2 linked regions of the Rhinolophus ferrumequinum genome follow. The protein of the gene in region 1 binds, or shares a complex with, the protein of each later gene. Links are inferred from orthologs where the notes say so. Each region holds a gene or a part of one and is shown on either strand. Other genes may lie near its edges. The genes, in order: EMC2 and EMC9.

Region 1 (15,596 bases):
GCTCCACACGATGCGCAGTCTGCTGTCTGCTTCTCTGCCGACCAACCAACCAACAACCCCCCTAGCGTAGCCACGGCAGTTATATTAGTGGCTAATGGTTAACTGGTGATAGATGATGGCCAACTAGTTACAGCTGATGGCCATCTGCTACCTGAGCCAGCACCTTTCCATGTGAGGTCAAGAGCCTAGAAACTGCTCTCTGGGACTGTCCCCACAATAGGTCATCTGTATTCAGTGCAGGAGGCACTACACAGGTTGTACTAACCAGGAAGTGAAAACCGTTGGGGACCATCTAAAAGGCTTCTACCACAGTTGGTACCTTGCCCGATGGGTTGTTAAATATTTTGAGTACCACTTTCACTCACGAGTCAGAGGAGCCTTGAGAAAAGAAGGCAGCAGTATGGGACAAATTCCAACCTTACTGAGATTAAATTTTTGTCTTCCTCCAAAAATGGTACCTCACGTAGAAATTGAGTTTTATAAAATTGCAAATTTTGTCCTTTCACACCTGAATTTGTGTAGTGCGATTCACAGCAACTGTGTCTCATGTAAATGCTCCCTGAAATTGACTGCCAAAGTTTTCTGTTCACCACTCCTCTCCTGTTGCTGTAACTCTTTCTTTAAAATGTATAATCTTTCAATAACTTTGCTGTTCACGTGAGTCTGGGATGTACTCTGTCTCCTTCCATCAGGTACCAATTTCATTATATCATTCCTCTGGCAGCCCAGAATACGGACCACTTGTCACGTCCTTCCTCAAAGGGCATCTGTGCAGCACAGAAAATGCTAACTAGGGATGTTTTGACATTTAAAAGGGAAAAGAGCAGTAAGCAATGAGAGTCTTTTTGGGAGCCAAAGTATTGATAAAATTTGGCCTTGCTTAAATTTATTAAGAAGCAATCATCAATGATAATATGGCAGCTACCCAATGAATTATCAAGGGGCATTCTCAGTGTATTGTCTTTGGAATTTTCTAGTACTTCATGGAGATCTTGAGTTCTAGAATTTTAGAAATGCTATTTGGAAAGCCATTTTTCAGAGTTATACTGTTATTCTTGGTAAAATATTAAAATTTAAAATTATTTGGATATATTTAGAATCTGAGGGGAAAAAAGAAAGAACTATGAAGTTCTAGGTAATTTATCAATGGCAGTAGCATTAATTCCCAACCCAAGAAAATAAATAATTACTGACTTGTGTCTCATAAAAACAAGCAAATTGTCAAGCCTCTGTGGGCTATATATATTCTACTGTGTCTTTTCAACACAAGGCAAGCATGGCTGAGCTATTAATCATATACCAGAAAAAGACACTCTGTGGAGTTGAAATGTAATTTCCATGTGAAATAGCTTCTGAATCTAGCTAGTACTACAGAAGAACACACACTTCTACCTCTCATCAAAACTGAAAGATTATACTCAGAATGAAAGAATAATAATGGCTACTGTGGCAGCTACAGAGATGCAGTTAGAATCACCCTTCAAGATTCACTTGCTATTCAGCAGCAAGGAGTGCAGGGAGCTGGCACCCTCTAGCTATTAATTAGTCTTCAAGATTCATCTCAGCTTGAAAGCTGAGGCCATGCCCTTGTAGGTAGCCTCTAGCCAATGACTGAACACGTAGGGGTCCTAGGACCTGGCCATTTCTGCCCAGTGTAGGCTTCCTCTGATGGGTAACCTTTGCCCTGGAGTTTTCCCACAGAGTTGGCTGATACTACAGCAGATCCAAATCACGGTGTGAGGCTCTTTCTGTCCAATCCTAGTTCCTACTCTTTTCTTTCACAGGTAATAGATGAGCACTGTGGTCTGAAAGCTTTCCTAATCCTATTCTGCTTCCTCCCCCTTTTATCTTTGACGTGGAGTGCCCTCTAATAAACCTCTTGCATTCAGAACACTATCACATCTGCTTCCCAAAGACCAAAATGATACAGCTACTATTTACTAAGAACCTACTATGTGAAGGAGTGTATCATAGTGTGTTTGGGGAAATTATTTAACCACTCCCAACTGTTCCTTCATCTGTAAAGTGAAGTTGTTGTTAAGAATTAAATGAAATAATCTACAAAGAGCAACTTGTACAGTGTGTGGTATACAGTAAGTACTCAATAACTGGTATATAACACTGTGTGTTGTGTCATAGGCCAGATTCTGTGTGAGGAATTTCAAGCTTATTACTTCTAATACTTGTTATAATCAGCAAGTATTATTATGCTCATTTTACATGAGGAAACTAGGGTTCCATGAAGTTAAAATAACTTGCTCAAATTACGTAATTTACATAGCTATTATAGAATGTGTAACCTGGAATTAGAGCCCAGCAGGTTTCGTGAAAAAGAGCAACGTATGTGTGTATGTTGGCAAAGAATCCATTGCTGATACCTAGAGTGTAAAGAGCTCTACCCCCTCTATGACATGGTATGTAAAATTTGAATTTAACACAAACCACTTTGAGGATTCTTTCATAACTCTAAGTCTAGGCTCTTAATTCCATCACATACATGACATCAGAATCTGGCAATGGGGGCTTAAGACTAAGCATTTGTCTCAAAGCTTAGAAGGGCAATATATAATGCCACTGCCACTCCCTGATGAGTACTGGACAGTTATGATTGTAGAATGGCTCTCAATTTGGGTTTGTATGATGTTTTCTAATGATTAGATTGAGGTTATGTTTAATATTCCATAATCTTGCTATTGCTAGAAAAATTACATCAACTGAAATCATTCCTCCTCTGTTTGTCCCTGCCTCCACCCCACCCACAGGACAAATGTTCAAGTCCATTATTAAAACATGAAAAAGAAATCTGTAATAGAAACATAATGAGCAGAAGCAAGTTATTAAAATGCTAAAATGTTGTAGTGAGGTGGCAGTAATTTGAACTGAGTGGCAGCTTTTGCAGCTCACCTATATTGTTCCTTACCTCAGTTTTTCAGATAAAGAATGTTAAGTATAATTTTAAAAATTATGTGTTTTTTTTTTTTAAAGCATTTGAGATTGTGCCGTTTGCTCAAGAATGAGGTGATGATGGATGGGGTTGATGGACTGGATTAAGGGGGAGGTTGTTTTCTTGCATTCTGCCAGAAAACCAATCTTTTTTCCAAATAAATCCATGGGGTTGACTAGACAAGCCATCCCACGTGCAAAAAAGCATATGATCTGAAAGATGAGATGGCCACTTTATCCTAATGTGTCTACTGGACTTCAAACCAACTTTGGCCAAGAGTAGTCAGAAAGACTATAGAAAGAAAAGGATGACCAGTAAATGACCTTGTGGCCTGGTGGCAGATAAGGTGCATCAGAAACTACAGGTCTGAGAGGATAACTTACTCATTTGTGGCTAGAGTGATGCTACCAAACCACCAAAGAGAGGGACTGTTAACAAAGTGTCCTTCAATAGATGATTGGATAAAGAAGTTGTGATATATATACACAATAGAATACTACTCTGCCATAAGAAAAGATGGAATAGTGCCATTTGTGACAACTTGGATGGATCTTGAGATTATTATGCTAAAAGAAATAAGTCAGACAGAAAAAATTGAGAACCATATGATTTCACTGCTATGTGGGATATAAAACTGAAAACAACAAAGGAACAAGACAAACCAATAAATAAACAAAAACTGATAGACACAGATAATAGTTTAATGGTTACCAGAGGGTAAGGAGGGAGGGGAGTGGTAGATGAGGATAAAATGGGATCAAATATATGGTGATGGAAGAGGAACTTCCACATTGGTGAACACACAACGTGATATATAGATGATGTATTGCAGACTGTACACCTGAAACCAATATAACTTTACTAACCATTGTCACCCCAATAAACTTTAATTAAAAAATAAAATAAAATTACATCTGTAACAGAATAACTTATAACTATAAAAATATGTAAGATAATATTCAGTATATTTTTGCATGAGTTTACCCACAATGCAATTAGTTTCTTGTGAATAAATACTTTTTTCAAGTAAAGAACATTTTTCAAGTAAAGAATTCAGTTATAGTTGTATTGTAGAAAATGGAGTCTAGATGGGCTCCAGAGACCATCGGGTCACAGTTACAGGATATAGGGACTCCTGGATGTTTGGTACCCAAAAGGGATGTTTGTGAAAATATATTTCTGCACAAGGACTATTATATATGCACAGATGTATGTGTGTATCAGAACAGAATAGGCACTTTGGGGCAATGAAAAAATACTGCTAGAAAAAGTAGACTCAAGTATGGTTATAAATCTCAAAAAAGAAACAACTCTAATTTATTGCCCATGTGGGAGAAATTCTGGGTGTATTCTTTCTGGATGTACTTTCCTCTTCACTGTTATAACTATGGCACAGAGGGGTAATTATCAGTTTGTGAATTCTACTGTGAAAGGACCAAAGTGACCTCATTGGAAATGTTTCCCAGAGACTCTCCTTTGCTTTCTAAAATAATATAATTGGATGCGAAATAAATGGCTAGCACATTTTAAAACATGTATACTGTAAATGACTGCAAATTTGGAAAAATTAGAAATGCGTAAATGCTATGGTTGTATCAGCAAAGGGGGCATAGGCTCTTGCGTTTTGGGGGAACATATTAAGTTACGTAATCTTTTAAAAATGTAATAAAAAACAATGTTCAAAAGGTTCCTAAAACAATTCCATGTTAATCTGGCTTTTGGTAAATAAAACTCTAAGGAAAACTTTCCTCTAAACGTGACTGTGTCACAGTGAAAATTTATTGACATGGAATGAAGATGAAATAAGTAGTATTTCCCCTTAAATACAAAGGGATTATGGTTATGATTCACTAACTAGAAACAATAACAAGATTTAAAAGCTATGGTAAATTTTATGAGTTGTAGTGAGACCAATTTACTTTGAAGGATAATTGTCAAAGTAAATAGAGGTTATAAACTGTTTCATACTGTGGGATACTTTAATTCACTATGATTAAGACAGAACTAAGCAGAGAGCAGATTCTAAATAAATGATTTGATAAAGATGTTGAATACTGCAAAATCAATTATGTTATCCTTTAAATAATGTCCATTTTATAAATGCCATAAGGTTTATTAAATTTAAGAAGTCGCTTTAGTCTTTCATAATGTCTGGAGATATAAATTGAATTAAGTAAACCCTGACCATAAAAGAGAAGCACTGTAAAGTGCTTTGGGGCCAATCTGGCTTGATAAATAATCAAAGCTTATCCCATCTCAAAGAAAATGTGGGCTTATTCAAAGTTATTCCTTTCTGACCCTAGTTCATTCTGATGTACTATCATTCTAACTATTCAAACATGATCTTGCAGGGGAAAAATGAAATTCATAAATAGCTTTACACAAAAAAAGCACATCATAGAGCATAGTCCTGTGCCTTTTTCACGATCTAAACCACTCATCTCCTCCCTATGAATTTTCCGTCTTTGTTACTTACTAGTGTCAGGAACTTGAGAAAATTATTTCACATCAGGGACTCAGATTAGAAAACATGTGCAGTGTCCACTTGTGTTTTTCAAAATATGGGTCCCTTTTCCATTAGTGGGTCACAGCTAGTATTTTTATAAAATAAAATGGAATTGACTTATTTTGAATAGAAAAATATAGAAAACAAGATACATTATAAGGCTAGCTTGTAATTTTGCTTTTTAGTTTTAAATATATGTATGCATACTGTGTGATGATGCAAAATGTATTCCTTAATATGGTTGCAAGCAAACAACTTTTTAAAAAGTATTCTAAAGAATCGTTAAGTACCTTCTAAGTCTAAATGAAATTATTCTAGATTCCAGCTCAAAAATTCTGTAAATTACCTTTTTAAATCTAGTATCAGATATGGTTTATTGCCTGACAGACAATAGTAGCTAGTTACAATGGCATTTAGCTAAAGTGACTAGAAAATATTTACTCCCTCAATTAGCTATAACTGTTAATATCGATTGTAAGTTTTTAAAAGACACCTTCTTCAGCTTTCACTCCTTCAAAAAATTCAACAAAATGTTGGGAATCAACAATTTAGTACAAAAATTAATTCGTATGTGTATGCCACAAATATATACTAGTATGTCACGTACCGTGGTAAGGAGCTGGGAGATATAAAAAAAATGGGCATGTTCCTCACACTCATTAAGTTCATAATTTTTAGGAAATCATCAGCTATAAAATAAAAACGTCCTATCCATAACCAAACAGTAGATTTACATGTGTACTACTATAAAATATTATCCTAATAATCACTAATATGAGCTATCATTTTTTGAGTATCTAATTCATTCATTCATTAAACAAACATTTACTGTGCTCCGGGTGTTTTTATAGGTTGGATGTTCCAAGGTTAAAACGACAAAGTAGGAGGTCTGACAATTAAGTTGGTGAACGTGTTGCAATGATGTTGCTAACCTTTTTTGATATCAGAACGATTATTCATTATGAGTTTGTACCAACTGGACAAACAGTTAACCAAGTTTACTATTTGGAAGTGCTGAAAAGGCTGCATGAAAAAGACGATGTGAACTTTTCGCGAACAATTCATGGCTCTTGCATCACGACAATGCACAGCTCACAGGGCACTGTCTGTGAGGGAGCTTTTAACCATTAAACAAATAACTGTATTGGAACACCCTCCCTACTCACCTGATCTGGCCATCCCGTGACTTCTTTCTTTACCTGAAGATAAAGGAAATATTGATAGGAAGACATTTTGATGCCATTCAGGACATCAAGGGTAATACGACGACAACTCTGATGGCCATTCCAGAAAAAGAATTCCACAATTGCTTTGAAGGATGGACTAGGCGCTGGTGGTGTCAGTGCATAGCTTCCCAAGGGGAGTACTTCGAAGGTGACCATAGTGATATTCAGCAAAAAGGTATGTAGTACTTTTTCTAGAATGAGTTCGTGAACTTAATTGTCCGACATCATACATACTCTCAAGGAGTTTATATAAAATGGAAAATACAGAAAGTGAATAAAAATATATCATATAGTGATAAGTGTCATAATAATGTAACAGGCATTAACTAGGGCTTTTTATTGGATAGTCAAAGTAGGCCTTTCTATGACTAGATACATTTAAATCTGAGATATGAATGACAAAAAGACAGCCACTTACCTGGAGAGGAGCATTCCAGGAAAAAGGAAAAGCTGGGCAAATGTCAGCCCCATGGCAGACAGGAGTTTGGCATGTTTGAAGTAGGTGAGAATGGCTAAAGTCTAGTGATGAGAGACAGAATGGTAGATAAAGTAGAGACGTAGGAGGGAGCCAGACAAAGTGAAACCCTGTAAACCATGGTAAAGCGTTTAGAGTACGTTTTTATCGCCAGGATCAGCCATTGGAGAGCAGTAGGCAAAGGACATTTGTGATTTTTTTTTTTTTAAAGACGAGTAGGGCTGCTGTATAGAAAATAGATTTTACACAGCAAGAATGAAACTAAAGAGGTTAGGAGGCTATTACAGTTATTCAGGTAAGAGGTAGTTGTGGCTTAGATTAAGGTAGTAGCAATGGAGATGAAATAGATTTTGGGGAATGTTTTGGAAGTACAATGCAGAATTTCCTGACAAGACTGGATATAGGGCAGTTGGCAAAGAAGAGAATCAAGGATACTTCCTAGAATTTTAGTGTGTGCAAATAGGCAGATGGTTTCATTAACTGTGATGGGGAACAGCAAGTTGGGGGACTTGGTGGCAGGAATCCAGAGTTCTGTTTGCAATATGTTAACTTTGAGAGGCATATTAGCCATTTAAGTGAATATGTCAAGAAAGCAGAACTGGGTTTCAGGGCAGAAACAGGACTGCTGGCTGTAAATAACTACGTAAATAGTTATGTAAATTTGTTATGTAATAACTATGTAAACAGAACTGGTACCTCTATGATAGTGTCATGCAATAATTTGTTTAATCCTGATAACAATTCCAGGTAAATCTTTTCTTTGTATATAGCTATAATTAGCTTTTTCTTATACATTAGCAACTCTGATGCTCAGAGATACCATGCAGAAAGTCAACCAGTTACTAATGGTGGAGCCTGGATTCTATCTGATGGAGTTTTTATTCTTACCATTATATGAGGCTGCTTTATTGCAGCATTCGAATATGTGAATTGCTGAGTGAAGGATTTTTAGTTTTTTAAATGGGGGTTTTGTTTTTTTTTTAAGGTCTTTTTAGTCTGGATAGAATGAAGCTCTTACAGAATCTGACTTTATAAATTCACAGGTGCCACTGATAGTTCCTTTTTTTTTTTTTAACTCTATTCCCTTAGCTTGTGGGATATGACTCTTTTTCTTCTTTCTCATATCTTGATTGCCTCTTTTCACGGAGCCTTAACTATGGCTATTATGCAGGAATTTTTGGCCATCTTTCCTCAGTTTACCTATTTCCCCTTTACAATTTCATGTTCTTATTGCTCCAAATACTAAATATGTGCTTACGACCCTCAAATTTTTGTTTTGTTGTTGTTTGTTTGCACTTCAGACATTTCTCCCTGGTTCTAGTAGACGAGGTCCAAAGGTTCCTGAAATCAGTCTGGTGGGAAAGGGTGGGGAGGGAGGCTCCCCCGTGAGGTTAAGAGGAATGAAGTGTAGGGGCTGGATGGTCTCATTCGTACATTTATTCAATAATTCATTTATTTAAAAGCACTTACATGTTGGCTGCTCTTACGGAGTTTCAAATCTAGAGCGGAGGGAAACTGGTCCACGAGTGTGTTAAGGCTGTGGGTTGGCAATGAAGACATTCATGTGACATAAAAAAGCCCTCGGCCACTGGAACACAATTTGCAAAGGCTGAATCCCACTTAGTCTCCCAAAGAGATTTAACGAAAATTTTGACGTGTATCAGTTTAGTTGAATATTAAAAAGGAAATGGAAAGCGAATCCTATTAAGGAAGGAAAAAAGTGAGGGACAAGTGATTCGGTGGAACGTTGCGCTGCAGCAGGCCAGGAGAACGAGGGACTAATCAGGGATTGCGAAGAGAAGAAGTACACCTACGTAGAGAAAAATGAAAAACCTCAAGTGGCACACATTAAAAACCCAGCATTTGTTAAAGAGCTATGATAAACAGACACCTCACCCGAAGCAAGTTCTGCCGCGGGTCCGGCCATCAGCGCTTCCTCTGCATCCCCCGCTCGCCCCTCCCCCTTCCGGAATCGCCCCGCCTTAGAGCCGCGTACACGTGCGCGGCGAATCCCGCCCCCTCCTCTCTCTCGGCGAATGAGAAACGGTGTCGTAATTCGCCACCGCCCGGTCGCAGATCACGTGATCGCGTCTCCCCGCCCTCTCGCCCAGTTGCCTCTGGGTTCTGAGAAGATGGCGAAGGTCTCAGAGCTTTACGATGTCACTTGGGAAGGTAACTGCGGGCGGGTTGAGCGCGGAAAGACCAAACCTCTGGGGAGGGGTTCGGGAGATCTACTGCTCTAGGAAAGCTGGATGCTCTGGTCTGTTTTCGGCACTAGAGCTCCCTCTGAATTGGGTGAGCCGAGGTGGTGGCTAAGGTGGAGGTTGAGGCTGACCTGACCTGTTCCTTGGCCCGATCACCCACTGGAGTCTGCGGTATTCCGGTCTACTGCTTGTGCTTATCGGTGGACTGACCGACCTACCTCCGCGCCAGTCTAGCGGCCCAGGGAAGCTTCCATTATGAGGCGGGAGGGACCTGGAGCTGCTGGGCGACGCGGAGGCGGCGAGATAGGTGTTTGCTGAAGCTTCTTTGCAGCCAAGAAATACATGACCTGTAAGGCCTTTATCAGGTGCCGTTTAAGGGTTACAACTTTGTGCAGAAAAGATGTGTAGAAGACTCATGAACAAATATGAGTGTCCTGCGTGACACTTTACGTTTCCATCCCTCTTCAGAACTGGGTTTCTGATTTCTTCACTTTTAAATTATTCCCAGTACCACTTCCCCTCTAAACACATCTACACACATAACACGATTTCCTTGTTATTCTTGACCAGTAATTCTTTTTCTGAAGGGGAAAAGAACTGGTTATCTGGGATATGTGCGCAAGTGTGATGGACTTCTTTCCCTATCCTGGTTTAATGTAAGGGAGAGTGTGTTCTTTAAATCTGGAATTAGCCAAACTTTGGACCAATTCTGTAAGAGATTTTCCCTTCTCAAAAACTTGAGCGGGAGACATGCTTGAGAGAAGAGTCTTGAGTTTCTCTAAACCATGAAATTTTTATAATTGAAATTTACATTCCCAGCATGTAACAGCAGACTTCAATAGCTTATTTTTTCAAGGAATGCCTTACGATGTTTAAAACAATGACCTGATAACATGTGGACTGAAAGTTACATCCACTGATGTTGAATAAATCTCTCCCGTATTACAAAGGTGCAAACATGTATGGGAAAAGGAAAAATTCCTTTATACTTGAACTGACTTCAGTGATTTATTATTGGTTTCATGGCCTCTAGCACACTGTGAACCTGTTTCTACCTGTATTGGAAGATTCCATTATATTAAAAGTATTAAGTGCTTAGTGATAGATTTTGCATATATCAAATTAAGTAACACATAGTCCCTACTTTCAGGGTGTTCACAGTCTAATGGAGAAGACAGATCTGTAAATACATAGTTTTTAAAAGGCTTGTCAGGATATATTCCCTGAAGCTATATGGTAGATATGTGGCATTATTTTTAATGCTTTTTAAAAATGTTTCAAATAGTTCATGCTTTATAGAAAGTGATATTTTGAAGTTTTGTTCAATATAGGTGTTTTAGATGATAGCATCATATATAGAATCTTAAAGAATGAATAGGTGGGTAAGTTAGACAAGGTCCTTTAACTTGAATCTTATTCTGTGGGCATTCTAAAGAGGAGTGATGTAATTAGACTTAGAAAAATAAATAATAGCTACTTCACAAGTTTGTTGAGGAACAAGAGAAAATATGTTAAAAGTGCTTTTAACTAAGTGTTACATAAAAAGATGATCTGTTCCTGCTTGTGTCTTTTGCTTTATCTTAAGGTATTGTCCTCCTCACTCTATGATCGGGCAATGCTGGCTTTTGTTGAATTCCCTAATTGCGTCATACTCCTCTTGTATTAAGTCTAGATACATGGCTATTCCTTCCATTAGGAGTGTTCTTTCCTCCTTGCCCCTCTCTTGCTCCCATTATACTTTGTCATTTCTCAGAATCCCCCTCAGAGGTCACATATTTCAGAGAGCTTTCCTTGACTACCCTACCCCAAAACCCTTTCCCATCCCTCCGCCAATATTAAGAAAAAGAAAAAATGAAAATAAAAACACCAACAAATCCTACCCGTTTTTTTTAACTAACTGTATGTTTTCATACTCTTGAAGCACATACCCAATTATGTTAAATTTTAAAATTTTGTGTCACTAGAATGGAGGGAGGGACCAGACGTATCTTGTTCTAGTGCCTGCCATAGGAGAGGAACTCTGTACTTATTTGTTGACTAAATGAGTTGTAAATGGGATTAATAATAAACATTAACAAATTGTTACAAAAAAAGGCCATAAATCATTTTTCTAGTGTTGGAATAATTTCTTCAGTATCTTAGATAGACTTACTTCATTACTAGGACATAGTTTTGCTCATTTGTAAAATGAGGGTTTAGACCTTTCCAGAATTAAAATTCTGTTTTAGGGGATTTTTAAGAAAACATAGTCTGTATTTTTTCTTTCAGAGACTTATGGTAGCAGATGTTTATTGTAAGAGGGTAATGGGAAAACTACAGGGATAGTTTTTTGTTTATATTTTTTTAGGAGGGGATGTCAGTTGGACCTTTATCCTTGAGAATTCCATTAAATAGCATCATAAATTAAAGCCATAGAAATGGTTAGTTCAAAGAGTACTGTAATTCTTGTGATAAGTGATAGGATAAGTGGTCATGTGTCTATAAAAGACTTATATCATACGTCTGACATCCTCCTACTCTCTTGGGTTCTGTGAAGAAAGTAGAGTATATGGTTTATTTATTGAGCCAGCTGAAAGTTATTGAGGTTTCTTATTAATATATAGAGGAGTTATTACTTAGGGGTTTGGAGGTGGAAAAGAGTTATAAAGAGGGTATAGTCAAGTTTCTTGAGAATAGAGTATTTGGGCAGGATATGGATAGAATGCCTAGCACAATGGCTGGTGTACAATAGGCACTAAATAAATATTTGCTGAAAAAAAATACATGTTTAGGTACACACTCAGTTTTGCATGTAATTTTAGGGAATTCACAGACCTCTTAACACTTATTCCTGTAAGGAGCCTGTTGATCTCAGGTTTAAGCACCAATAATAAATTAAGAAGAGGGTTAAGGAAAGAAGCATTGGGACACCAAAAATTAAGGAGCAAATGGATTTGGAGAACTCAACTCAGCAAATGAAAGGTCCGGAAAGTAAGAGGGGGAACTTTAATGTTATTAAGAAACTAATGAAGTAATTCTTTATAGAAGGAGTGATCTATAATGACATATGTAGTACAGATGTATAAAGCACATACGTACATTAGACCTGTATTAGGTCACCCTAGGAACCTTACTGCAGTGATTAGGGCATTGAAAGCAAATTGTGGTTGTTTGAAGGACTGAATAAAAAGAGAGGAAATAGAAACAGCATAAAAACTAACATTCTTCATTTTTAATAAATATTTTTTCAACAAATATTAGAATTTCTGGAGTGATAAGAGTATCTTTTTGTATACTACTGAGATTAGCTTCAGGATGGTTGCTGGTCACCAAAAAGACCAAGCCATGATTAAGGGTTTGAACTTTGAGTCCTACCCCTTGTCTTTCTGGGAGGGGAGAGGACCTGGAGATTGAGTTAATCACCAGATGATTTATCAATCAAGTCTACAGCATGAAACCATAAAACCCCCTAAACTATGGGGGTTGCAGAGCTTCCAGGTTGGTGAACACATCAAGGTGCTGGAAGGGTGGCTTGCCCTGAGAGGGCGTGGAAGGGCCTCTGCTCCCTCCTTCCATCGGGCTGTTCCTGAATTGTATCCTTCATAGTGCACTAATTATAGTAAGTAAAGCACTTTCCTGAGTTCTGTGAGTTGTTTTAGTTAGTATAGAACCTGAGGAGGGGGTTGTGGGAACATTCGACTTCATAACCTGTTTGGTCAGAAGTAGAGATGGTCCTGACTTATGATTGGTGTCTGAAGTGGGGGGACTGCGCCCTTAACCTGTGAGGTCTGATGCTAACTAACTCCCTGTAGTTGGTGCCAAGATTGAATTGAATTATTGCACACCAAGTTGATTTCACAGAGTTGGAGAATTGGTTGGCATGGGGAAAACTTGCCCGCAGAACAGTTGGTTATCAGAAGTGTTCTGTGAGTGGAAACGGACTTAACTGTATGAAAATATGGCTTAAGTAAATACACTAGGGTGACAGTAAACCCAACAGCTTTACAGATAGTATGCTGCTATATTGTTTTGATCCTACTTTCCTAACCTCATTTTTAAAAGAATATTTTTAGTTAGATATTCTTCACTGGATTTAAATACAGTAGCACTATTTTTTTCCCCTGATTTCTGTTTGCTAAGTGAATAGATTTTGTTGGTTTTTCTCCAACATTAGTTTTATATCAGTGATTAAATGAGTGACACTGTTGCTATTACATTCCTTTAGTAGTTAAAACCTTATGCAGGCTATAAAATTTGATGAGTTAATGGGATAAAGCTTGGAGATGTATGGGTTATGTGTGTGTGTGTGTGTGTGTGTGTGTGTGTGTTTGTGTGTGTGTGTTTTAAGCTGCTTTTGTCTGAAAAGCATTTGTGTTCACTAATTCTTTTGCAGTCTAACTTTATTTCTTGGGATCTTCATGTCAAGAACCATGTGTTTTTAACCAGGCACAGGAAATATATCTCCATGGTGGTTTTGGTTGATTTTCAGTTTACAAAATATTATACAGTAACAGTTTTAAGAGATTTGAGATCATTTCCAGCAAACATAAGCTCTGTATTTTAAAACTGTTTAGTTAATAAATTTGTGTGTCAGAATTTCAAGGAAATTATGCTGCTACTCAACTTAAATGCTTTTTGAACCTCCCAATACTTTATTTGGTAAAAGACAAACGGTTTTCTTCCATCTATATTTTAAAGGACTTTGCTCTTCTCTCTCTCTCTTCCTCCCTCCCTCTCTCTCTGCCTCTCTCTCCCTCTACCCCTACTTCTTCTCTTTCTCCTCCTTTTCTCCCCCTTCGTTTCCCTTCCCTGTTTCATTCTAAGTATCTTTTTATTATAAAATAAAATGGAAAGAAAATTACACAAATTTACAGCTGAATTATTTATTACAAAATGAAAGCCCTCCAAACTACCACCCGGGTCTAGAAATAGAACTTCACCATCCCTCCTGGAAGTCCCTCCCATGTGCCCCATCCCAACCACAACTCCCCTCTTCTCTCATCAGTAACCATTAGCCTGACTTTTCTAGTAAAGAACTCCTTGCATTTTAAAATAATTTATTCTCCAAATGCATATATATCCTTAGACACCATACTTTAGTCTTGCCAATTTTTTATGAAGTTTGATATATTTTAAAAGTCTCTCGATCTTTAGGTTCTTATTCTCTTGTTTTTCCTTACAATTTATCTGTTGAAGAACTTGGGCCACTTTCTAACATGTAGATTTGATCATGCTGCTTTCCTTTTGCTTAATATTTAGTTGTTTTTCTGCACCTACAGAAATAAACTTCTACTTCTTCAGTATGAAATGTAAGGCCTTTTAGTAACTTAATCTTACTTCCTACCCTCTCATCTTCTGATCTGTTTCTTTAATTCTAACTACCAGGAGTTCCTTCTGTGTGGAATAACCTACTTTTTTGTTTACTTGCTGAATTCCTCTTCAACCTCTTAGATTCAGTTCAATATTACTTCCTGTTCAGAATGAGAGTTAAGCTGATTTCTAGGTTACAGTAGAAGGAATTCACAGTATGTTAATTTGTAATAATTTTCCAAGACCATTTTTATAAATTCAATTAGAGTCTATTTTCATCTTATGATTTTTGTTTTCTTTTGTAGACTTCGAACTGTAGGGACCCAGATAATGCATGCAAAAGTAGTGAAAATCCCATGTGGTTCTCTTATATTTATTCTCTAGGTGACTAGTGTATTGTTTATTTAACTCATCTGTTAAACAAGTAATTCACCTTTTTAAATCTGTTCAACATGTATAGAAGGAAGAAGGTGGTACTTCAGATGAGTATGTAAAATTATCAGAGGTAAGAGTAAGAAAGCATGTATGTGATTGGTGAATTGGACAGTTAATTCTACCATAACTGTATAAAAAAGGAATCTTTTGTTTGCTGGATAAAGTACTCTTTTTTTTCCCCAGTTATTAATTTCTGTTATCAAAATGCTGTTCTTGGAAACAAACGTTTCTATTGTATTAACAATACTCAAAATTCTATTGACTTTTGTAGTCTGTTAGTGCTTTTGACTTTACATTTCATTTTATTATTGTGAATATAATCAAAAGAATCCTTTGTTCTATTTTTTTTGCTGTTTATTTCCTTGCATAATTGTGTATCTTTACATATTATTTTACATATTACATTTACATATTACTGTTTTAGTAATGTTACTAAGGAAGTTTTGTGATGGATATCCTTTCAGTGCTTATAGCTTAATATGACACCCTGATTTAGACAGTTTTGTATTCTGTAGTC
Region 2 (15,011 bases), on another chromosome or scaffold:
GAGCAGAAATTAGGCTGAAGGATGGGCTTCAGGATCTGGAAGGAACCTGATTGATTAATCCATCTTGATCAGTTTGCAGAGGAGGGCACTGAGGACCAAGGAGAGTGAGTTGATTTTCCCAAAGTCACATAGTTGGGCCCAGAACTCAGGTATCCTTAAGTTCATTCCTTTCACTACTTCGCAGGCCTCCACTGTGCTCTGAAATCCCACCACCAATTTTGAGGAATGAGGAAGACAAAAAGGGACTGCAAAACAGTTACTGAATAATAGGGACATCTCTTGGGTAGGTTGCACTCCATACTGTGGCTCCAGCCCCTGTAGTCAGGCCGAGAAGCTAAGTCTTAGGTATGGCTGAGCCTAGGGTAATTGGTTAGAAGACACAGCCTATGTTTTGATGGCTGAGGATTTTTCGTCTAGATCTCCACCCTGCTTTCGCCATCACCTAGGAGTAAACCTACTTTTGGGGACTCTGAGAGTCCAACCTAAACCATCACCATCTCATATAATATGCCCTTTTCAGGACACTTGAATTTCATCTGTTGGCCATCATAATAAACATACCAAAGAAGGGCCCCCTTTAGATCTGATGTCTTGTGCATTGCACAACCATGGTTTACACAGCAGCCCTAGACCCAAGCTAACCCCTCAGAGCTCAGACCAGACAAGCTGGGGCTGCGCCAAGCCCCTGAGGTCCCAGTGCAGAAAAGTGGGTAACCCTGCTGACGTGCTTCCCAGGCCTGAGTTGGAAACAATGCAGTGCACGGCCATCTTGCTGCAGGCTCAGTGGTGAGCTCCTGTGCTCAGACCTGAGGAGAGAAGCTGGGCCACGATGATGATGAGGCAGACACAGATTTTTTTAAATGACCTCCAAGGTTTGGTTAGTTTTATGTTCCTGACCCCTGATCTCCCTGTGGAGCAAACACACAGTAAAATTGGGGTGGGGTATGGTTAACTGGCTGACCAGACAGGCAGACCCAAGCAGGCTATGGACAAAGACAACCCGGAACAGCAGGTCTGGCCCTGAAACATGAACTAGACCATGGTTACAGCTTGGGACACAGACCTAGAGAGCCAAGGGGACACAGGGCTAACAGGAAAGGACACGGACCGCAATAAGGACACACACCCAAGGCTGGGACCCTGCTGACGTGGCACCCCTCCACCCTGGCCCCTTACTGCCCCCCGCCCCTCTCCCCCGCCTACCAGCTGCCAACAGGGCTCTGCTCTGTGTCTGCCACACCTGTCACTGCCTGTCCTTGTGCAGGGGGGGCCCCATCAGCCCCTCCTCAGCTGCCCAGCAGAGCAAGCAGTTAGTGGGGAGGGGAGGGAACATGGAGCGGGGGCCGGTGGTGGGGGCAGGGCTGGGGGCCGGGGCCCGAATCCGGGCACTGCTGGGCTGCCTGGTCAAGGTGCTGCTCTGGGTGGCCTCTGCCTTGCTGTACTTTGGGAGTGAACAGGCTGCTCGCCTCCTGGGCAGCCCCTGCTTACGGCGCCTCTACCATGCGTGGTTGGCAGCAGTGGTCATCTTTGGGCCCCTTCTGCAGTTCCATGTCAACCCTCGGACTATCTTCGCCAGCCACGGCAACTTCTTCAACATGTGAGTCCACGCGAGGCCGTGGGCGCCGGCTCCCTCCATTCTGGGATCCTAGCTCCCTCCAGGCTTCTGTCCTCCTGCCAGTCCAGGCACTAAAAATAGGCTAGAAGGTTGAGGAGAAGGTCAGAGGAGGGGGAGGGGACAGCGTTGTGGGGGTACAGGGGAAGTCAGGAGCAGGGCTGACGAGGAAATATGGACCATAGAAGGCTGAGTGAGTCTTTCAGGAGATGGCAAAGTTTAAGTGCACGGGGGTGGTGTGGTAGAAGGCACAGGACCCAGAAAGCCAGTGATGAAATATAGAACTGGCAACAGAGCAGTGATGGGAACACAGACCAGGGTGGAAAGATAGGGCTACGAGGTCTCACTAGCCTCCCTTCTCTGCCCACAGAAAGTTTGTGAACTCGGCATGGGGCTGGACATGCACCTTCCTGGGGGGCTTCGTGTTGCTGGTGGTGTTCCTCGCTACACGGCGCGTGGCAGTGACTGCCCGGCACCTTAGCCGGCTAGTGGTGGGGGCAGCTGTGTGGCGGGGGGCCGGCCGGGCCTTTCTGCTCATCGAGGACCTGACCGGCTCCTGCTTGGAGCCTCTGCCCCAGGGCCTGCTGCTTCACGAGCTGCCCGACCGACGCAGCTGCCTGGCGGCCGGCCACCAGTGGCGGGGCTACACGGTCTCCTCCCATACCTTCCTGCTCACCTTCTGCTGCCTGCTCATGGCTGAGGAAGCAGCAGTATTCGCCAAGTACCTGGCCCATGGGCTACCTGCTGGTGCACCCCTGCGCCTCGTCTTCCTGCTCAACGTGCTGCTGCTGGGCCTCTGGAACTTCTTGCTGCTCTGTACCGTCATCTACTTCCACCAGTATACTCACAAAGTGGTGGGCGCTGCAGTGGGCACCTTTGCCTGGTACCTCACCTACGGCAGCTGGTATCATCAGCCCTGGTCTCCAGGGAGCCCCGGCCATGGGCTCTTCCCTCGCCCCCACTCCAGCCGCAAGCACAACTGAAAGAAATAAAGGCACATTAGGCCTGGCTCTGGCCCCTCTCATCATTTGGTGGGGGACCTGGAAAGGGTGGAAAGGGTGAAAAGGCTGATGGTCGCTGGGGTTCCTCAACCATTCCTTGAATGTCCTTCCTTATGCTTGATGGCCATGTCTCCTGCTGTCCTTTCAGTCTTCTAGTCCTTGCAGACTTCGAGCTATCTGAGGCTCTGATGTCAAGGAGTGGCACTGCTAGGGCCAGGTAACAACGCACTTAGGTATGGGCAGCATTCCTGCTGTGCAGCACTCTGTCTACAGCCTGGTTGATTTACTCCCCCGCCCCCCTGCTCCACTGAATCCCCTTCCGCCTTCCTCTAGGAGCTGCCTATCTAGGCACCCTACTCAGGGACCCTTCCCACCCTTTCTTCCCCATAGGGCTCTATGTGTACTCATTTATTTAACAGATGTTTATTGAGCCAAACATAGCTTCAGACCTTGTGAATAAGGGAGACAGGGTTTTTGCTGCTTGGGGGCTTATGGTTTACTGGGGGAGGCAGATGATAAATTCACAAATAATAATAGCAAAACTGCATTGTGCTTACTCCGTGCCAGGCAACATTCTAATTGTCTTAAAGTTCTTTATATAAATTTAACACATTTAACACTCACAACAACGCTATGAAGTAGGTTTGGTAGTGTTCCCACTGTACGGTTGCAAAAAGGCACAGAGGTTAGGTAACTTGTTCACAGCTAGTAAATTATCAGTCAGGATTAAAACCCCGGGGCACTATGGGTCTGTTGTCTGTGCTCTAAGCACAGACAGCCCTCCTGTGGTCATTTTTTGTATGGCCTGATTGCTAAGAATGGTTCTTACATTTTTTTAATGGTTGAAAAAAAAATTAAAGAACATTTCATGATATCTGAAAATTACATGAAATTCAAATTTATGCCCATAAAGTTTTATTGGAACCTAGCCATGCTAATTTATTTAGTTATAACTGTTTACCTGCTACAATGGCAGACTTGAGTAGTGTAGTTGCTACGGACACTATATATAGCCCACAAAGCCTAAAATATTTACTATCTGGCCTTTTACAGAAAAAGTTTGCCAACCCTGGTGTAAACCACACTATCCTCAAAAATTAAACTAATATCAGAGCCAAGTGCTATGAAGTTACTAAACCAGGCTGCTTTGTAATACAGGGAGGTACTTTATAAAGAATGATGGACAGTTCTCTCTGACGAAGTGATATTTGCACGGAAAAAGGAATGACAGACAACGTGAGGCAGGGGCAGGGTGTGCCAGGCAAAAGTATTAGCCAGGGCAAAAGCCCTAAAACGGGCAGGAATGAAAGTGATACCGACAACAAATGAAAAGCCAGGTATTTACAAGTGTAAAGTAAACGGGGCAAACGCAGTAGAGAGTGAAGTTGAATGGCAACAGGTGTCAGGTAGTCCAGGCAGGCCTTAGGGGCCAGGAAAGCCCTGAGGATTTCATCCCAAGGTCAACGGGAAACTGAGAAAGAGTTATAAACAAGGAGAGGGATCCTGCTGCTGTGTGGAAAGCGGGCTACAGAGCAATGGAGTCCACACAAGGGTTAGGAGAGAGCTGACTGGGTTGGAGTGGTGCCGGCGTCTGAATGTCACTGCACGGCCAGAGGATGCCCGTGGAGCCAGGAGCCCAGGCTGGCAGTGCTAGCGAAGGGAGACCAGGTCTTGATCCACCGCTGAGGAAAGATGGAAGAGGGTCAGATAAGGCTTATCACTGTCCCAGGCCGAGCAGGTGAAGAAGAGAGCCAGCAGTCACAAGGCAGAGAGAGATGGGAGGCGGGGAGTCCAAAGGCGGGCACTGGGCTGGGTGGCAGGAGATGTCGGGCCTTGTGAAGAGAGGAAGCGAGAAGTGGAAGCAGTAACGCCTGGAGCGGAAAGAGAGCAAAGAGGATGGAGGAGGTGGCGGCGTGTCGAGAGCAGGGCGGGAGGGAAGAGGCGGGGTGGGCGGAGGCAGTAGGCGGGGAGTCGAGAGACCGACTTCGGCGAGGAGGTGGGAAGGGGGAGGCGGGGCGTCGGGAGCAGGGCGGGGAGGGGGAGAGGGAGGCGGAGGCGGGGCGTCGAGAGGCGGGCGAGGTGGGATGGAAAGGTGGGATGGGCGGAGCGGGCGGAGGAGGTCGGTGGAAACGCTGCTCTCTAGCAGTAGAGGGAGCCCCGCCTGAGCGGCCTTCCTCCGCCCCCCCAGCCCTCTCTTCTCTCCGGACTGTCCCCGCCTCCCCCAGTGCCTCCACTCCCCTCTACCCAGGAAGGCCGCGCGCATTCCGCGCGCTGCTTTCGCTTTCCCTTCACAGTGCCCACTCCTCGCTCCTCGTGCGGCGTTAGGCTCCCCGCCCCGGCCATGGCCACGCTCAGGGTCCAGCCTGAAGCCCAAGCCAAGGTGAGCGCTGCGGGTTCGAGGAAGGGCCCATTAGGGAGGCGTGGCGCCGAAAGGCTGAGGGCGTCAGGCTGCCGCCCCCTAGCCCCCAGACGTGAGTCGGGGTCAGTATCGAGTCCAAGTGAGCCTCTGTGCCCGGAGCACCTGAGCCTCAGGGAGACCGGCGGGGTCCGCCTGCCGGGATTGGAGAGGCGGCTGAGTGAAGCGGGGTGAGGTGAAGCGGAGAACCAGCGTGGAGGGGAAGTCCGCTGGCCCGGGGCCGGGCCCACACACAGTCTGGGTGCGGAACCTGCCTTGTCACCTCGTTGCTTTTCTCACGGGGAGGACCCCGGGGCCCACTCCGTCCCAGCCCGAGTCACAGAAGGCTCTTACACCTCTCCTTATAACAGCCCAGGAGACCCGAGGGATCTGTTGTCACTTGAACCACTTCACCGCCAGGAATGTTCTCATCCCCCAAATCCCGCCCCAAGGGGATCCACTCCACCTTTGCCCAGGCCAGGCCCTACACAATCCTAAGGGACCGGTCCTCATATGAACTGGCCATAAAGCCAGGTGTCTGAAGGGCTGCCTGTACCCCACAGGTGGATGTGTTCCGTGAAGACCTGTGTACCAAGGTAAGAACCGCCCCCTCAGTACCCCGTTCCTACCCATCTCCCACTGCTTAGCCTTTCATTGGTGGGCAGCTTCAGCCCTGCTTCACTACCCGAGAAGGGCGTTGGATTCTGACCTCCATCCTCCCCTGCCTCACCTCACTCCCAGACAGAGAGCCTGCTCGGGAGCTACTTCCCCAAGAAGATTTCTGAGTTGGATGCATTTTTAAAGGTACTGGGGCTGGGCAGGGAGCTAGAGAGTAGGAGCCAAGGGGAGAGTCTGAGGGGCCATGTGAGTGAGGAGGTGAGAGAGATGCCCTTGCCTCCAGCCCTCCTCCTACCCTGCACCAGGAGCCAGCTCTCAACGAAGCCAATCTGAGCAATCTGAAAGCCCCTTTGGACATCCCAGTGCCTGATCCAGTCAAGGAGAAAGAAAAGGAGGAGCGGAAGAAACAGCAGGAGGCAAGCTGGGAAGAGCTGGGAGGAGGGAGCCAACCATGGGGAATATCAGCCTTGGGCCTGACTCCCGAGAGCCCCTCTTTCCCTGCAGAAGGAAGACAAGGATGAAAAGAAGAAAGGGGAAGATGAAGACAAAGGTACTACTATGGTGGCAAAGGATGAGCCTCACCTCCCAGGAGCTCCTCCTGAAGGATTCTTCTTCCCCACCCCTCCCGCAGTCCCAGCCATGTGCCTGACCCATTGTCCGCTCTCTAGGTCCTCCCTGTGGCCCAGTGAACTGCAACGAAAAGATTGTGAGCCTCCTGCAGCGCCTAAAGCCTGAGATCAAGGATGTCATTGAGCAGCTTAACCTGGTGAGCCCTACCACTGCCACCGCCAGGCTTTAGGTCAAACCCTTTGTCTTCCTTGGTCCCTGCCAGTTAGGGCATGGCACTTGCCAGGTCTTAGCAGGAGAGGGCACAGCAAATGAAGCCAGAAGTCCAGGCCCTGGGACTCAAGATGGACCTGGCATACCTACACCCACTGTGGGCAGGGAAACAAGGAAGGACAGGAACCTGGGAATTGGGTTGAGGGCTGATGTGGCTTTGATGCCTTTCCCTCCTCCCAGGTCACCACCTGGTTGCAGCTGCAGATACCTCGAATTGAGGATGGAAACAATTTTGGAGTAGCTGTTCAGGTGAGAGCGCTGCCCACTCCTCCACCCTCCTTATGTCTCTAGTCCATGCTGTTTTCCACTTTACCTCTTGCATTCTTTCCTCAGGAGAAGGTGTTTGAGCTGATGACCGCCCTTCACACCAAGCTGGAAGGCTTCCACACTCAAATCTCCAAGTGAGTGTCTGCCCAACTGTACCTGCATGCACACTCAGCCTTTGGCTTGGACAGAGGCCTGGGCTCTCTCCTCCTTCTCCTGTTCCACACCTTTCTACTTCCCACAGGTATTTCTCTGAGCGGGGTGATGCCGTGACCAAAGCCGCCAAGCAGCCCCATGTGGTAGGTGAGGCCGAGGTCAGGGTATATGGGGGGAAGGATATATTTGAAGTGAGGCCTGACCCAGGTCTCCTGCAGGGTGATTATCGGCAGCTGGTGCACGAGCTGGATGAAGCAGAGTACCGGGACATCCGGCTGATGGTCATGGAGATCCGCAATGCTTATGTGAGGAGAAAAGGGTGGGGCAAGGGTGGGTAGAGGCAGCTTTCTCAGGCCACCCACTCCCTGACCCTGCAGGCTGGGAGTGATGGATGACCAAGTTCAGTCTCACCACAAGGTTAGAAATGGGGCATAGAGCTGGGGCCTACAACTGATCCCCACTCCTCCCTGGCCATGTAGGCTGTGTTATATGACATCATCCTGAAGAACTTCGAGAAGCTCAAGAAGCCCAGGGGAGAAACAAAGGGAATGATCTATTGAGCGCCTCCTCTCATACTGTGGTGGATCCAGCAGAGACCGTCCTATCTTTGACAGGGGACTTCAGACTTTGCCCCACCTTCCACCTGTTGAGGTTTCTCCCTCCCCTTGCCTCCCAGGCACAATAAATATAGTCGTAACAATACCCATCAGCTCAAGTCTCTTTATTGGATCTTGACACATGTACCCCGGCCCTGGCTCAGACATTTCCATTGGAGGGACCAACCCACTGGGTGATTCGAGTGTTAAGCTGCTGGTTGGTCCAGTCCTGCCGGATGTCATCGAGATGGCAGTCAAAGTCCACAAGGTGCTGGTAGGCCCGGCCTTCCAGTAGTGCTCCCACCATCTGCCGTGACTCTTCCCAGTCCCTCCACATCACTCTGAAATAACAACCCGCATGAAGGTCTAACTCAGCAGGCAGTAGGGCCAGACACACGACAGAAGTTAGGTCTAGAGTGGGTGGCCTGAGAAAGGGTCAGGGAGCGGGTGGCCTGAGAAAGCGCCCTTGCGCCCTACCTGGCCCTACCTGGCCCTGCCCGTGCCCTCTCACTTAGGTTCTGTGGTGACGCTAACACTGCTCGAAGGCAGCCCGCCGGTTCCAGGCGACCCTTTGTGCAGGACCAAGAACACCAGGCCCAGGTGTCCTGGGTTTCCAGGGAGAGCGAGAGAGAGTGGGGCACTCACAGGTTCTTGTCCTTGGGGACCCAACGGGCACCATGGTTCTCCAGGACGATGACTGGGGGCACATGAGACTGAGGCACCAGTTTCTGATTATCCAACTGCATGGACAAGAAAGGGCAGGTGAGGGCTTCAAGGATCCCCTTTCCTACTTTCTTTCCAACCCCCTCCTCCAAACCCAAGCCTCACCATAATAAGTACTGCACCAGGGAAGAATTCTGCAATCCGCCCAGCAATTTTCAAGGCCAGGGGCCCAGGGCTGTGTAGAGGGAAGATCAGAGGCGTGAGGAGTGGACTGAGCAGACCCTATCCATCTGAGCTGCGCCTCCCAGGTCTCAGACATGGGTGCAGTGATTGCCTCTCCTGTGGCTGACCTGGACCAGGGAAGGGGGGTCAGGCCTGCTTGATGCTTCATGCACAACTGCTTGATGCTTGAGTGCTGCAGGAAACAGGTACTCAGCCACTGCTGGTAAGAGTGGAAATCAAAGGTGGTCTTCTTGGAGGGTAATTTGGCATAACCATCCAAATTCATATTATACATATGCTGACCAAGAAATTCCACTATATAAAGAAGTTACTGTAGTAATAGGACAGTGTCTATAATAAAAATTTGGAAACAACCTCAATGTTTAATATAAGGCATAAATAATGGTACATCCTTATTCACACCATATAGCTTTAGGGCAAAGTAGATCTTGGTGTAGAGATGGAAAGATATCAGATGTTTATTAAATGAGGGAAAAGCAAATTACAAAACAGTATGTATAATTTGATCTAGATACATGGTTATTATGTAAGTAGATAATTTTTTCTGCATGCATATAAAGAAATTTCCTTTTGCTGGTTGGGCTTCCAACCAGTGTTTTCAGCAGTTGAGGGGCACTTCAGCTAAAGGAGGTGTCAGCCTTTTCTTATTGATACACAGGTGTCCTCCCCACCTCTAGAGCATTTTTATATTTATATTTCCTCACTTCAGTACCTAGTCTTGTGCCTGGTGTGCAGTCCCTGCTCCTAAGCGTTTCATTAAGGAAAGATGGAAGGAATGACCAAGAGGAGTTCTCTTGACACGCCAGCCACCCTCACCCAATAACCCTTGGCCTTCTGCCTGTAGCTACCCCACTTACCTCTGGTCGTTCAGAGCTGCATTGGCATGGTAGTACCCAGCCACTACCAGACCGGTCTGCGCGCCCCACACATCCACCTGCCGTGGGAAAGGGGCCATCAGTAAACTAAATCGTGCCGCCCACCCTGCTAGGGGCGTTCGGGGGTTTCGCGGAGGTTGATGAGCGTCCAGCGGCGGCACCTGGTTGAGGGCGACCTCCAGCATGACAGACAGGGCCAGGTGGTTGTGGAACAGGGGCACACAGTCGGTGAGGCACAGGCATTCTCCCGACGCCGGCGCCGGCGCCAGCAACAGCCCGTTGACCGCGGCATGCGGATACCGAGCTGCGTGCAGGCACATTTTCACGTAGGCTCTGGCCGAGATCTCCACCTCCCCCATGGCGAGCGGGACTCCCGCTCGCGTCTGCGAAGCTTCCTCCAGCGCCCTTGCGCCCTACCTGGCCCTGCCCTTGCCCTCTCACTTAGGTTCTGTGGTGACGCTAACACTGCTCGAAGGCAGCCCGCCGGTTCCAGGCGACCTCGGCTCCAGAGTCCGGCCCCCACCAGGCCGGGTCGCAGGCGGTCCCGATTGCATGCTGCGGCACCCAGCTCCACCTCCGCCCGCCCCCAGAGGGCGGCGGCAGATACAGGCTCGTCTTGGGGACCCAGAGCAGGAGGCTCTAATCTAAGCAGGACTTGCTTCTGGAGTCCCGCCCACATGGTGCCCTTTGATAGGCTTAGATGTTCTCATTTTGTCCTATCACCGGCCGCGTCCAAACCTTGTCCCGCCTTTGTCTCCAGCGTACTGGAAACAACCCACAACTGTAAAGAAAACTGTATGCACGCTGATTGGCTAGGATACCCGATTTCGGCTCTTGATTGTAGGATGGCTTCTTGTTACCTGTGCGGTCCGCCCCCAAAGGCCCGGCGGAGACTACAGGATGGAGCGGGCGCCCGAAGTCTGGTGTCCTGGAGCAGTGGCTCTTCAAACTTGGGCACCAAGCGGGTCGCCTCGCTCCTACTATCGAAGGAGTGGATTTGTACTCTAGACCGGCTCTGCCACTTAGTAATGAACCATGGCCTTGTTTAATGTAATATCTGCAGAAATAAAGACAGCAATTGGCTGAAGGGGAAAAAAGGACCCCCCCCAAAAAAAACCATGTACAGACCCACCCTTCCCATAATGTCCTGTGGTGTAATTTCATTCATCTCCATGCCTTGGGAGTGTTTTTTTCCCCTCCCAGGGCTTGAGAAAGAGTCCACTCATTCACCCATAATTCTTCCAGAGAAACCTCATTGTCCCTCCAGGCTTGCTCTGAGCTGATGAGGTGATGATGAAAGGTAGTTCGTTTCTTCATTCCCTGACCTCAGCCACAGAACTTTCCCCTTGTCTGTTCATAGCCTGATTATTCCAATAAGGGCTCTGCCCAAATGCCATACCTTCCAGGAAGCACTCATGAGATCCCCAGATGGAAAAAATCTTGTGAAACTCCCAAATAAAGGTTATCTTCATGGTTATTATGGCATGTAACAGTTTCCACCCTATTCTTTAGGATGACTTCTTAAGAACAGGATGGACATCTAATTCATCTTTGTCTTCCTGGCACCACATTCACATTCAGTATCTTGGACATAGGCAGCACTCAGTAAATGCTTTTTGAATGAATGACACACACCAGAGGTAATCCACATATAATATAGGTCATTTATTTCCCTGCTAGCCCTGGGCTCAGTACATAGATGGCTTCTCTTCACCCTTTGGGTTGATAATTTTCTCCATGTTGTTGCTGATGATATGATAAAGCTCAGCCTGGAAGAATGCCAGAAGGGCAGCAATCAGGTTCTTGGCCTTTCCTCTGCCCCTCCTGGTCCACCTCCCTTAGAGGCTTACCCCACACTCACATAGAAGGCCCTCAGGTCCAACACCATGGCCCTCAGCTCCCCATAGGCTGCCTCATCTCGCTCATGCACTAGGGCTCGGTAATCCATCTGGGATGGGAAAAGCAAAGCTGAGTCAGCCCCATTGAAGGTCAGGACAGTCTGGTTTTCTCACACAGGGAATAGGTAACTTGAACATGAGCCCTTTTCAGCATCAAGAAATGGGATTCTCACAGGACCAAACAGAGAAAGGGGTTAAGGTTTCTGAAGCCCAAATCAGTTTTCCTAGGCAATGCTTTTGGCTTAATATTCCCCACATTGGGAAGGTCATAAACAAGACAAAGAGAACCTCTATTCCCCTTTCCTCACCCCACCCCCAGCCAGCATCAGGGGAAAGGCTGTTGGACAATCCACTCACTACATGGGTCTCCTTAGAGGCCTTGGCCACAGCATCCCCGCGTTCTGAGAAGTACCTGCCGGAAACAAGGGGAGTAACCACAGGAACGGGGGTTCATATTCTCCCTCAGACCCTTCCCAAAGCCCTCTATCATCCTGATGGGACTGCCCAGCTTTGGGAGTCCCAAAGAAATGTCCCCACAGCCCCCTGTGCTGGCCCTCCAGCTGCCCTCACTTGGAAATTGTTGTCTGGAAAGCTTCTACTTTGGTCTTGACTGCATTCACCCTCTCCAGCACCTTCTCCTGTGGGGACAAAAGAGATGGGAGGCAAAGAAAACACTTCATCTCTTCCATCCTTCACTCACCATCTCCTTCCTCCTCTGTTATGTCTAGCTCCTATCCCCCACTCCCCAAGTCTCTCACCATTTAATATACTTATACACCCTTCTCTTACCTGGATTGCCACCCCAAAGTCATTTCCATCCTCAATCTTGGGGATCAGGTGCTGGATCCATGTGATCACCTATGTTAAGAGGTATCATGTAGGAATCATTCAACAAACTTGCTGGGTTCTTCCTATTTCCACTACTCCCTAAGGCGACATATTTAACTGAGCATTTATTATGTACCAGGCACTGTGCTACGTATTATACATCTCATTTAATCGTCACAGCAACCTTTCAAGGTATATCTTTTTATTATACCCACTTAACAGATGAAAAAACTGAGTCACAGAATGTCTAAGTTACTTATTTAAGATAATCAACTAGGTAAGTGATAAAGTCATGATTTGATTCCAAGCAGTCTCCCTCTAGGGCCTAAACTCTTAAACCAACTCACTTGCATAGCACCTGCACTGTGTGCCTGGTACAGCAGTGAATTCTGAGATTGTGGAGGTGGATATATCCGAGTCTCTGATCTCAGGGATACCACTGTGATATCAGAGGTGTAGCAGAACAAAAGGTATCTAAACGCAAGGCACAGAAGGAATCTTCCTATTTCAGGAATAGTTCCTGAATGAAGGACTTGCATCTCTGAAGAATACCAGGGTCTGGCCTGGTTTGTCTTCTCATTCTATTTCTCCCAGTTCCCAGGCTTACCAGAATGCATTTTTCTTTGAGAGTCCAGACTTCTGGCTTAATCAGGGCAAGTAGGGCCAGGACCTTCTCATTCCCAGGAAGAAAGCCGCATTTAGGGACTATAGAAAAGAGGGGATTTAGGCTCCTTTTTCATTAAGTAGTCACTGTGCCATTTCCCTTCCCCTGGCCATCCCTTCCTCTCTTACCTTCTTTCTTCTCCTGCTTATCTGTTTCCATCTAAGGTAAAAAGGGGGAAAGTAGCTTCAGAAAAAGTCTTGACGGTTGAAAAGCCATCATCTCCACTGGGTTTATATAGTATGAGCCCTACACCCTGAGTGCCTCACCTCATCATCCTTGGGTGGGGGGTCTGGAATAGGGATGTCCAGTGGGGCCCGGAGAGAGGTCAGGTCAGCCACATTGAGGGAGTCCTCCTGCACAGAGCTTACTGTCAGGGGATGCCCAGCCTTCCCTGAACACATCCCTCCCGCCCTCTGCCTCCCAATCTAGGCTCAGGCCTCACACCATCCTAACATTCCCAGTCCACCAATCACAACCACTCACAAATGTTCTCTGCATGCTGATCCCAGTTGTTAGATAGAGAGGGTGAGTGGAGAGGAAAGAGGCCGTGGGATGGGGCAAGAGGAGCCCACACTACTCACCTGCAAGAGCTGGCTCAGGTAAATGATTTTCTGTGGCAAGAATCTGTAGAGGAATTCTTCAGCCTGCGGGTTACATTGTGAAGGTGGGAAATCACAGAAGACATTTAATGAGATGCCTGAGAAGTGGGACTGGAAGGATCCTTGGAAATCACTGAATCTAAGACCTACAAATGAGGAAACTGAAGCCCTGAAAAGTGAAAGGATTTTCTCAAGCTAGGAAGTGACACAACCAAGGTTAGGACTGTGGTATTCCTGCTTTGGGGTCACAGCGTTTCTTTCCCTCAACACCAAAAGAGGGGAGAAAAGTGGCAGAAGTGGGGAGAGTATGTAGAGGAATCAAATTAAGGGTAGAGATAAATAATTAGGAGCTTATCTTGGATGAAGTCTTGATAAGGAAAATAGGGCCCAGGTCTAGGGTGGGTTTGGGGGTCACTCTGAGAGGTTGTGACCCTCAAGTATCGGTTTAAAATTCTGGGTCAAATCGCTTGAATCCAGAAGACTTACCTCCTGGAAAAGATTTTGCCGGAAGACATCCACCTGTACAGAGAGCAGTACCCGGATGTTGGTTAAGGGTCTCAGTTGTCAAGAGTAAGATTCCACCCCCCAATGGGATGCCCTCTAACTTGGCTCAGGCCTTTCCCACAAGCCAGATTTCTCTGGAAGCCCATGCTCACTGCATATACTGGTCAGAGGGCAGGATTCTGGGAATCCCCAGGGCAGAAGTGAAAGCACTGAATAGGGAGGTTGGGGGAGCTCTTTGGTACGGCTGTGGACCCCTGGAGCACCCAGCTTGGCCGCCATCCAGGAGGGCTCCCTGGACCCCTCCTGGCCTCCGGTCTCCATTACCTGTTTGCGGGCTTCCCCGCTCGGGCGTACCCCACAAGGCTTGGCCATGCTGCTCCAGTTGCTAGATCTTCGGTCTCCCGGTTCCCCGCCTGGGCTTTCGCTTTCACTCCCCACGTCCAGGCCCGCCCCCCTTAACCCCACCCCTTTCTTTCTTTTCCCCCTCCCCCTGGCAAGCCGCAAACCGTAGGGAGCCCCTCAGCCATTCTCGGCCAGTTGAGACTAGAAGAGGCGGTGCCGACTCGGTCACAAGCCCAGGGGCTGTCCGAGGGAGGGGCCAGGACGGGTGGGACCGCGGAGCCTGAACTGGAGCAGTCCTTCCAGAGAAGGGGCGGGGCTTACAGGGAGAGGCGAGGGAGTCCGGGGAAGTCCGGGACTGGGGTAAGAGGGGTGGAGTGGGAAAGGGGGTGTTCAGTGCTGGGGCTCTCCCGAGGAGGCTCGACTCTGAGGAGGGGGCTGGAGAGAGATCAGAGCGGTGGGAGAAGTAGTAGAAATGAAGGCCTGGGGCTGAGTAGGAGAGTATGAAAGGGAGGAGGCGCGGGGCTTCCTCCCGGAGGGCGCCTTGCCTTCAAGACCGACTGGAGAAGTTCGCTTGAGCCGGGCTCAGGCCGGCCAGAGTCGAGTCTCCGGCAGAATGGTACTTCTCCGGTCTACTGGTCTAGATAGAGAGGAAGGCTTTGAGGGAAATAAGTTATCCCCGCTCCTTTGGCAATTCATAAAAGAGCGGAATCAGCCTGGAGGAAGGCGGGGAAGAGCTCTAGAACAGGGTTAAAGGCTGTGAGGCTCTAGGGGAGGAGCCAGGGGCCATTTACCCTTCTCATTGGCTGGAACCAGGCCTCCCTTCTTGGCCACGCCCCATAATTCCCTGATCCCGCCTTCCTTTACCTTAGACCCCTCCTCTTCCCCTGAAACTGGGTCGCAGTCCCGCCCTCTT

What was found.
Region 2: EMC2 (region 1) and EMC9 share a complex: the UniProt entries of both Homo sapiens proteins name them as parts of the ER membrane protein complex. The link is inferred for Rhinolophus ferrumequinum from reciprocal best matches to the Homo sapiens genes EMC2 and EMC9.

Annotation. Positions count from the first base shown.
Region 1 is NC_046297.1:49,043,725-49,059,320, forward strand, and holds the start of EMC2 (ER membrane protein complex subunit 2), read left to right. Parts: upstream 1-9,283; coding exon 9,284-9,323; intron 9,324-15,596. UniProt on the Homo sapiens protein: Part of the endoplasmic reticulum membrane protein complex (EMC) that enables the energy-independent insertion into endoplasmic reticulum membranes of newly synthesized membrane proteins.
Region 2 is NC_046289.1:74,300,132-74,315,142, forward strand, and holds EMC9 (ER membrane protein complex subunit 9), read right to left. Parts: upstream 9,989-15,011; 5' UTR 9,623-9,988; coding exon 9,425-9,622; intron 9,323-9,424; coding exon 9,246-9,322; intron 8,381-9,245; coding exon 8,311-8,380; intron 8,223-8,310; coding exon 8,128-8,222; intron 7,824-8,127; coding exon 7,643-7,823; 3' UTR 7,593-7,642; downstream 1-7,592. Other genes in the region: FITM1 (fat storage-inducing transmembrane protein 1), read left to right, coding at 1,332-1,597, 1,983-2,595; PSME1 (proteasome activator complex subunit 1), read left to right, coding at 4,955-4,993, 5,572-5,604, 5,750-5,812, 5,932-6,042, 6,131-6,176, 6,295-6,392, 6,647-6,715, 6,800-6,867 and 3 more; PSME2 (proteasome activator complex subunit 2), read right to left, coding at 10,952-11,032, 11,125-11,211, 11,519-11,573, 11,732-11,799, 11,951-12,019, 12,597-12,694, 12,782-12,812, 12,920-13,006 and 3 more. UniProt on the Homo sapiens protein: Part of the endoplasmic reticulum membrane protein complex (EMC) that enables the energy-independent insertion into endoplasmic reticulum membranes of newly synthesized membrane proteins.